Linked DNA regions of Macaca fascicularis. The protein of the gene in region 1 interacts with the protein of each later gene in a biochemical or structural test. Links are inferred from orthologs where the notes say so. Each region holds a gene or a part of one and is shown on either strand. Other genes may lie near its edges.

What was found. The genes of interacting proteins can lie anywhere in the genome.
Region 2: the proteins of AHR (region 1) and ARNT form a complex in vitro, tested with the Homo sapiens proteins (14 studies listed by BioGRID, with this or other methods). The link is inferred for Macaca fascicularis from reciprocal best matches to the Homo sapiens genes AHR and ARNT.

Annotation. Positions count from the first base shown.
Region 1 is NC_088377.1:112,900,984-112,905,042, forward strand, and holds the start of AHR (aryl hydrocarbon receptor), read right to left. Parts: upstream 2,806-4,059; 5' UTR 2,167-2,805; coding exon 2,102-2,166; intron 1-2,101. UniProt on the Homo sapiens protein: Ligand-activated transcription factor that enables cells to adapt to changing conditions by sensing compounds from the environment, diet, microbiome and cellular metabolism, and which plays important roles in development, immunity and cancer.
Region 2 is NC_088375.1:110,366,610-110,370,643, reverse strand, and holds the start of ARNT (aryl hydrocarbon receptor nuclear translocator), read right to left. Parts: upstream 2,814-4,034; 5' UTR 2,657-2,813; coding exon 2,632-2,656; intron 1-2,631. UniProt on the Homo sapiens protein: Required for activity of the AHR. Upon ligand binding, AHR translocates into the nucleus, where it heterodimerizes with ARNT and induces transcription by binding to xenobiotic response elements (XRE).

The DNA.
Region 1 (4,059 bases):
CAATGTTGGCAGGTTTTAGGGCTCATTAGGTCACAGACTAGTAGTTTAATTTTAAAACTCAAATTTAATATCAAGTTTAATGACTTCATTTCTAAAATAAACTTTGATTTACTGCATTATAAAGTTAACAATTTTTCATTCAGGTAAAAATAATTTATATAAACACTTTCACTTGATAAAGAAAATACCAGCACTAGCCTTTTCTTACAGAGGAAGCTGGTGATATTTAAGGCATTTGTATGATTAGAAGCAATATATGGTGCTCGGTAGAGATCTGATAAACATCTATGCTAACAAAATAAAATGTGGGTGAATGGGAAAAATACTTTTGTTATATTGTAAGAAATTAATACAAGCATATTAAAGACTAAGAAAGTATATTAGGATAATCTAATAAAAAGTACATTTTACGCAAAGTAACTAAAATCCATAAACGTTAAACTGTATAATGAATACAAAATTATGGCATTTGTTTTTGTTTACAAAGCCACCCAGGTCCTTTTATAACACCCTAACTGAAACCCAGTATCTTAAAAACACATCAGGGAAAGCTTCCTGTTTTCTCACTATACACATAAAACCTATGACGTCCCTATTATATATGATGCTAAGTATATTATTGCATTAATAAACACATAGAACAGACATTTGTGATGCCTCCCAACTTTAACCATGAAGGACAATGTCAAATAAGACAAACATACTTTAATATAAGAAATCATTCTACAAAATTAAAAGTATTATAAACCGATGTCTCAAACTGCCAAGGTAGAAAACTGCTGGTTTGACAACATTCCCTTAAAACACACTCTACCATAAAACTTCCATATTTTAATCAGTCTATTTACAGATTATTATCCTCTGTTAATGCCAATTCACAAGTCTAGTTCTGAAGAACTATGATAACTGAAATTCTGAAAGGAAACTAAAATTTTAGAATGAAACTTTAAACCAATAACTGGTTTTAAATGTAAATCTTAAAGTGTTATTTTTCTGGTTCCCATTAGTGACAGTTGGAGTCTAAGCAAAATGCACACTTCTGATTTGGTCTGAGAAGACGTTTAAGAGTTCTTAAAATTGTTTACGAAAACTTGAAAAACATGCAGGTAAAGTAACTCAGAGATAAAACTAGAAATAAAAAAATTGGAACAAACACATGAATACAACCACCACACAACAGGAAAAGTTTCCAGCACGGATACTTTTTTCTGACACACAAGAAAATAAAGTATTTGCCATCTCACACAAATATTCCACCAAAATCAACTGACAACGACAAAAGCAAGTTTGTACTCACTCAATTAGAACAAAACTTGGAAGGGGAAAATAATTAGAGGTAAATGTTAAGAATGAAAACCACTCTCAAATGCAGTTCTAAATCTTTTATGTTACAGACTCTAAAGCCACCCCAAAAGTGATAAGCAAGCTTCCGAAAAAGATGTCTGAAGAATACAAATCCTCCACCGTATCCTGTCCGTTGCATCCACTCCCACCTGCTACCACGTCTATCCACTTTACCGATATGGTCACGATGAGCGCTACAAAACTGCTGCCAAATAAGTAAGTAAGAGCGCAACAGAAAGCCAGTAGGTGGGGACCAAAAAGTACCTTTAGAGGCACTCAGCCCCTTCGTAAAAGTCAGCACGTGTTTAGCTCTTTAAAACATCTCGCCCTACCAAACTCTACCAAGAATGAGAATTAAGACTGTCCTCTAACCTAACGCATGCGGATATTAAAAGTGGAAGGAGATTTCAAGACAGGTTTATACTAACTAATCCATTAGCCCAAGGCAGATCAGAGCTGTCAACAAATCAGGACCAAATCAGAGAGAACAAAGTTACAAATGTGAGAGGGTGTGTATGCACCGGTGCGGGAGAAGAGGATGGGTGGAAGGACAATTTTTAAAATGCAATCATTGAAAACGCGAGAATTCAAGTCCTCGGTCTCCCGACCGGCCTCCAAACCTCGATTCCACGGGCAGTGCCGGGAATGAACCTAATCCCCAGGATCGCAGGGATTTGGGGGCGGGGTGGGGCTGCCTCCCGCACCCGCGTGCCTGTGCGCCCAGCCCCCGCGATGAGGACGCGCTCGGGACACTCACGTTTTCTGCACCGGCTTCCGCCGCTTGCGACTGGCGTAGGTGATGTTGGCGCTGCTGCTGTTCATGGTGCCCAGCCGACGGCGGCGGCTACTCCCCGGGCACTGGCGGCCGGGTCCCCGGGACCTGGTGTCTGCCGGGACGACGGCGGCGGCAGGCGCCGGGTTCCGCGAAGCCGCGCCCGCTCCACCTGCGTCCTCTCCAGACAGTGGCGTGGGCGCTGCGCCTCCGCGCCTCGGCTACCGCAGGCTCCCGCAGCCCGCGCCAGTCCAGGTGAGCTGCCCGGGCCTGGCGCCGAAAGGGGGGGCAAGGGGCGGAGACCCGCGAGCGAGGCGGCGCAGGTGCCGTCTACACCGGCGGAGGCGGCGCGGCAATGCCCGCAGGTGAGGCGGCCCGGGCAGAGGAGGAACCTGGGCCGTCTATTTAGAATCCTGGCCTGGGTCGCTCACGGTGCCGCCGCGCTCCGTGACCGTAGCCGCGGCCCCTTGGGTGAGGGAGGCGCCGCCGCGTTGCTCCCGGGACTTCCCAAATCCTGGGTGCTTCCCGCCTGCGGAGCTCGGGGGCCAGCCACCAGTCCCGGCTGCTCCTAGCTTACGTTCGGCTACACGGCTGCCCCTGGTCTGAGCTGGCGGTCCGGGGCACGCTCTCGGAACAGAGCGTCGAGGGGACTCCCCAGCCGCTGCCTCCCGCCGCCGCGCGCACCGGCTGAATAGCACAAGCACCCCCGACCCCTCACCGGCCCCGCCCCGCCCAGATCCAGCGTAGCCCCGCCCCGTCCTGCTTGCCCCCGCCCATCTGGATTCCATTCCATCTTCCTTGAGGGCCCCACCCTCATCCCGGCACGTGATGACGTAGGACGTAACGACGCCCCCCCGCCGGTAGCCATCTTCGTGCATAGGCAAACTCATTGTAGCTAGACTATACAAAGTATATCAAGATATGCCAAATATAGAGCTTAACTTCGCCTGTTTGAGAGACGGTGGTTCAGCTGACTTGTGGCTAAGAATTACAATTAACTGGTAGACAACCAATGGGACTATATATTTTCCTAGTTGGGGAGGCTTCAGAAGGCCAGATTTCAGTTGAGACTTGAAGGCTAGGGGTTTTCTTGACCTTTTTTGGGGTGGGGGGAAGTCTTTACAATAGACAGGAAAATAGATAATAAGGGACTATTATGTGTTGTGTCATGGAGGACAATGTGGAAAAATATTGGGAGTAGTTAACAGTATTGAATGCTGTTGAGAAATTCAAATTAGAGGAGAACTGAAAATGTCATTCTTGTCTTCTCAGTGTGTAGTCATTGATAATTTTCGTGAATGCTGTGTTGGTGGGGTAATGGGCCTGCAAATAACATTGAAGTGGGTACAGGATTGCTGGAGATGATGAAATGGCATCCTCAAGCAGACAATTCTTCCAAGTTTAACTGTGGATGAGAGACACATCAGATGGTATGTAGGGGGAGTGAAGGGTTAAATGAGGGTTTTCTAGTTTTGTTTTGGTTTAGTTCTTTAATGGGTGATACTGAGCAGCTTAGAGGGGTGGAGATAAACTATGTAGGGAACCTGAGGGAACAGTTAAGGAGTGATATATATTAAGATAGCGAAAGCAGGAGGGAATGAGTGCCAAAGCATAAATGGGAGATTAGGACTAATAGTTTAGATACTAACAGAAACAGCACTTCCAGTACTTTGCTGTTCAGAGTACTCCACAGCTTCTTATGAGAGTTATAAGAAATGCAGACTCTTTGGGTGTCCATATTAAATCAGACCCAGAAGTTCACAAGAACTCCCAGGTGATTCAAATGTACATAAAGTTGGAGGAGCAGTTCTCTACCATAGCTGGAGGAAAGAAGGATGGTGGGTGAAATGTAGTAGGCTACTAAATTTTGGATCAGAAAGATGAAGGAGATGGAACAAAGGGTATTCTAGCATGAGCTACAAAAGAACAACTGTGTTTTGTGG
Region 2 (4,034 bases), on another chromosome or scaffold:
ACTGCACTACAGTCTGGGAGACAGAGCGAGACCCTGTCTCAAAAATAAAAATAAATATATTTTTAAAAAGGATTAACTCAAGTGAAGCTTAAAGAGTGAAATTTTTTTTTAAATCGTCTTGACAAAACTAACAAGAATTGTTAAAAAAAAAAAAAAAAAAAATTAGTACTCCAGCAAAAATACAAAGTAGAAAAAACTCAAAGAAATAGGCATGGTGTCCCTAGTCCTTAAAATGGCTCTAAGGAAAGAAGGTATGACAGTATAGCAAAGAATTCTGACCTGAAAACATTTACTTTCACTAAGCACAGTACATTTCCACCTAATGTCCCTCCATTCATTAATCTCATTTCCCAAAATGCAATAGACTACTGAAAAAATCCACAATGTATCTATGCTCTCTTCCTCTTGATATAAAAGTGCAAAGGGAGAAAAGAAAAAAGAAAACATATCTTCTGATTTGATTGAACTGAACATGGAATCGATAAGTTAGAAGAGATGGAAGAATTTTTTAATATCAAAAAAGATATCTGGCCAGGTAGAGTGTCTCACACCTGTATTCCCAACTTTGAGAGACTGAGGCAAGGCTTGCTTGAGACCAGGAGATCAAGATCAGCGTGAGCAACATAGCAAGGCATCTGTCTCCACAAAAAAATTTAAAAATTAACCAGGCATGGTGGCAAGGCACCTGTAGTCCCAGCTATTCAGGAGGCTGATCGTGAGAAGATCACTTGAGCCCCGGAGGTGGAAGATGCCGTGAGCAGTGATCTTGCCACTGTACTCCAGACCGGGCGACAGAGCAAGAAGCAAGACCCTGCATCAAAAGAAAAAGAGGGGAGAGGGGAGAGGAGAAAGGAAAAGAAAAAGAAAAAGGAAATCTAAAAATTGCAGAACCAAGCAGCCAAAGCATAGTAAACAAAGCGTTTCATTAACAAGGATTCTGCATACACACATACACACAAACACATGCTATTTTCTGCTGAGATTTAAGCTGATATTGATCAGCTTATGAAGATATGGTCAAGAGGCTGTCATTCTGGTTGCTGCTGTTTAAAAAACAAAACAAAATAAAGCAACCCCACCCACACAGCTGGAAAAAAGCTCCTGACATATGAACTAAAACTTGTTTACTCAGGCGACTTCTTAATAAGAGAAATGCTTTGCAATTTAACTAGGGTTATATAAGTATTTTGCAATGTGTGATCAGTTAAAAATCTTGTTTATTTATTCCATAGTTCAGATAGGTTATATTACTACAAGGTCAGGTTTGCCATAATGGCATTTTTCCTGTTTTATAGTTTTATTCTATCACTCAGCACTTCCCGCAATGTAATTTTTGCCATTAATTTTACCTCTCTTTCCTTTAAAAAAAATTTTTAAAAATTAAATACAGATAATGACATGTGACAAATTAATCATTTCTTAAAATAGCTGTTCCCAGAAACATGGTAGAAAAGAAATTTCAGTGATTCAACTGTCCAGCAAAATCTGGATATTGCAAAATAATACTGCCTTTCAGTAACATGAAAAAAAAATCTAATTTAAATTTCAATGTGGGGATGGGGGTAATCACTCCCACTGTTGTATTTTCAAGAAATTCTCCGCAACACACACACACACCTCAAGGCCCTTTCTTTTTAAAGCTATCAAATATATTGGTTTTTGGAAACGGATAGACTTTATTTTGCAAGAATGACCAAAGTCTGCAAGATAAACTAGGCCCCTAAAATGAAATACCTTCTAAGGAGAAATAACTGTAACATAGAGGAAAGAGGGCAGGGTGGGACTAGTAATTTGAAGATCTGATCTCTCTAGAACTGCACTACACCCTATTCCATCTCTTAGACAAAACAGACTAGATCTTTTTGATATTTGATTATTTTTTGAAACTGAGAAATGGTGTGGAATCAAACTTTTCTGAAAGAGTTTGGAAACTGGCTGGACCTAGGCCTAACAAGATTTAAACCTGGGGCTGTGGACTAAAGACCTGTCCGAAACCACAACCATTACACAAACCCCTGCCCTCAGCAGGCAGACAGGCCCTCTTAACACAAGATCTAAGTTTCAAAGTATAGTCCGGGGACGGGGACGGGGGTTGCGGGTGGGAGGTAACAGCCTAAAGAGATGTCGTATATATCAAAGAACGTCAATTTTTTATTTTTAAAATTAAAATCTAAACCTTTAAATGTTTGGAAGCAACACGTCAACTAAAGAGCAATATGTTCCAGGGTTTATGAATCCAAACTACTCTTAAAGTAAACGGAGCCACTCTGCCTACAGTATTCGGCATCAAGCGGCTCCAGCGGGCAGAGGGTTAAAAGAGGACCACATCACAGACCAGACGCCGCCCGAGGAGTGAGGGCGAGCCAGCCCCCACTGGCCGCCGCTCCAACGGAGGTCAGGAGAGGGAGCCCCCAACTCCCACCTGCCCCCTCGCTCCCTCCACCTTGAGTCTACCCAAGTCCCCAGGATCGCGCCCCTCCCCAGGTCACCGCTCCCCCACCGTCCCTCGCGGCCTCCGCCCCGCCCCGGCGCCTTCAGCTCCAGCTGCGTCCCCTCAGCCCTGGGTCTCCTTAGTTGTCAGCCCCTTCAGCCCCTCCCCTTTAGAGGCGCCCCAGTCCTCCGTCTCCTCACCGGGGTTGGCAGTAGTCGCCGCCATGGCCGTAGATGCCACCGCCGCCGCGCCACCCCCCCCCAGTGGGAGGAGCCGCCGCCACCGAACCGGGAGGGAGGGGAAGAGAAAGGCCACTCCCCAGAAGCGGCGCCTCCGCTACCGCGGAATCCAAGATGGCGGCTTCAGCAGCCCCCACCATCCCAGCCCCTGTGGCGGAGAGACCCCGCCTATATAGCGGGCGGAATCAACACACGACCGCCTCCTAGGAAAAAATTGACCAATGAAGATGCCAAATCGACCAAGGGCAGGGCTACTCCCTGCGCCAGCCAGTCCAGTGGAGGGAGGGCGAGGAAGAAGTCCAGCTGTCTCCCTAACCCCGCCCTCCTTGCGTAAGAGGTCAATGACCGAGTAACGTCATTGAAATGCAATTAAAATGGGTATTTTAGGCAGGGCGCGGTGGCTCGCGCCTGTAATCCCAGCACTTTGGGAGGCCCAGGCCGGCGGATCACCTGTGGTCAGGGGTTCGAAACCAGCCATGGCCAACATGGCGAAAACCCCGTCTCTACTAAAAATACAAAATTAGCTGGGCGTGGTGGCACATGCCTGTAATCCCAGCTTCTTGGGAGGCTGAGGCAGGAGAATCGCTTGAACCTGGGAGGCAGAGGTTGCAGTGAACCGAGATCGCGCCACACCACTGTACTCGTCTGGGCCACCGAGAGCAAAACTCCATCTCAAAAAAAAAAAAAAGGATATTTTACTAAAAAAAGGATATTTGACTAAAAACCTTCTCTTGGTGGTGGATTCGTCGTCTGAGTGGTTGCCCTGCAGACAACTTATCTTGTAAATCCTCTTTAGGTGCTCTAATACTTAAACTTCACATGGTGATTTGTAATCCTTTCCAGTTTTTTTCCTGTTTTAAGGACTTTTGTCCCTGGTGAAAAAAGTTAAATAACTAACTTTTTAATGCCTGCTATGGGACTGGTAGTGTAAAAGGATCTGGGTGTTAACGGTTTGGTATGGGAGATATTGCCAGCCAGAACTGGAGGCAGTGGATGAAGAAAGTATTTTGAGAATGGGTAACTTCCTTTGGTCAGTGATAGGTACATAATGAGGAGTTTTGTTTGTTTGTATTTGAGACGAAGTCTCCCTCAGTCATCCAGGCTGGAGTGCAGTGGCGCAATCTCGGCTCACTGCAACCTCCACCTCCCTGGTTCAAGCAATTCCTCTGCCTCAGCCTCCTGAGTAGCTGGGATTACAGGCGCATGCCACACGCCCGGCTAATTTTTTGTGTGTTTTTAGTAGAGATGGGGTTTCACGATGTTGGCCAGACTGGTCTCGAACTCCTGACCTCAGGCAATCCGTCCACCTCAGCCTCCCAAAGTGCTGGGATTACAGGCGTGAGCCACCACACCCGGCCAATGAG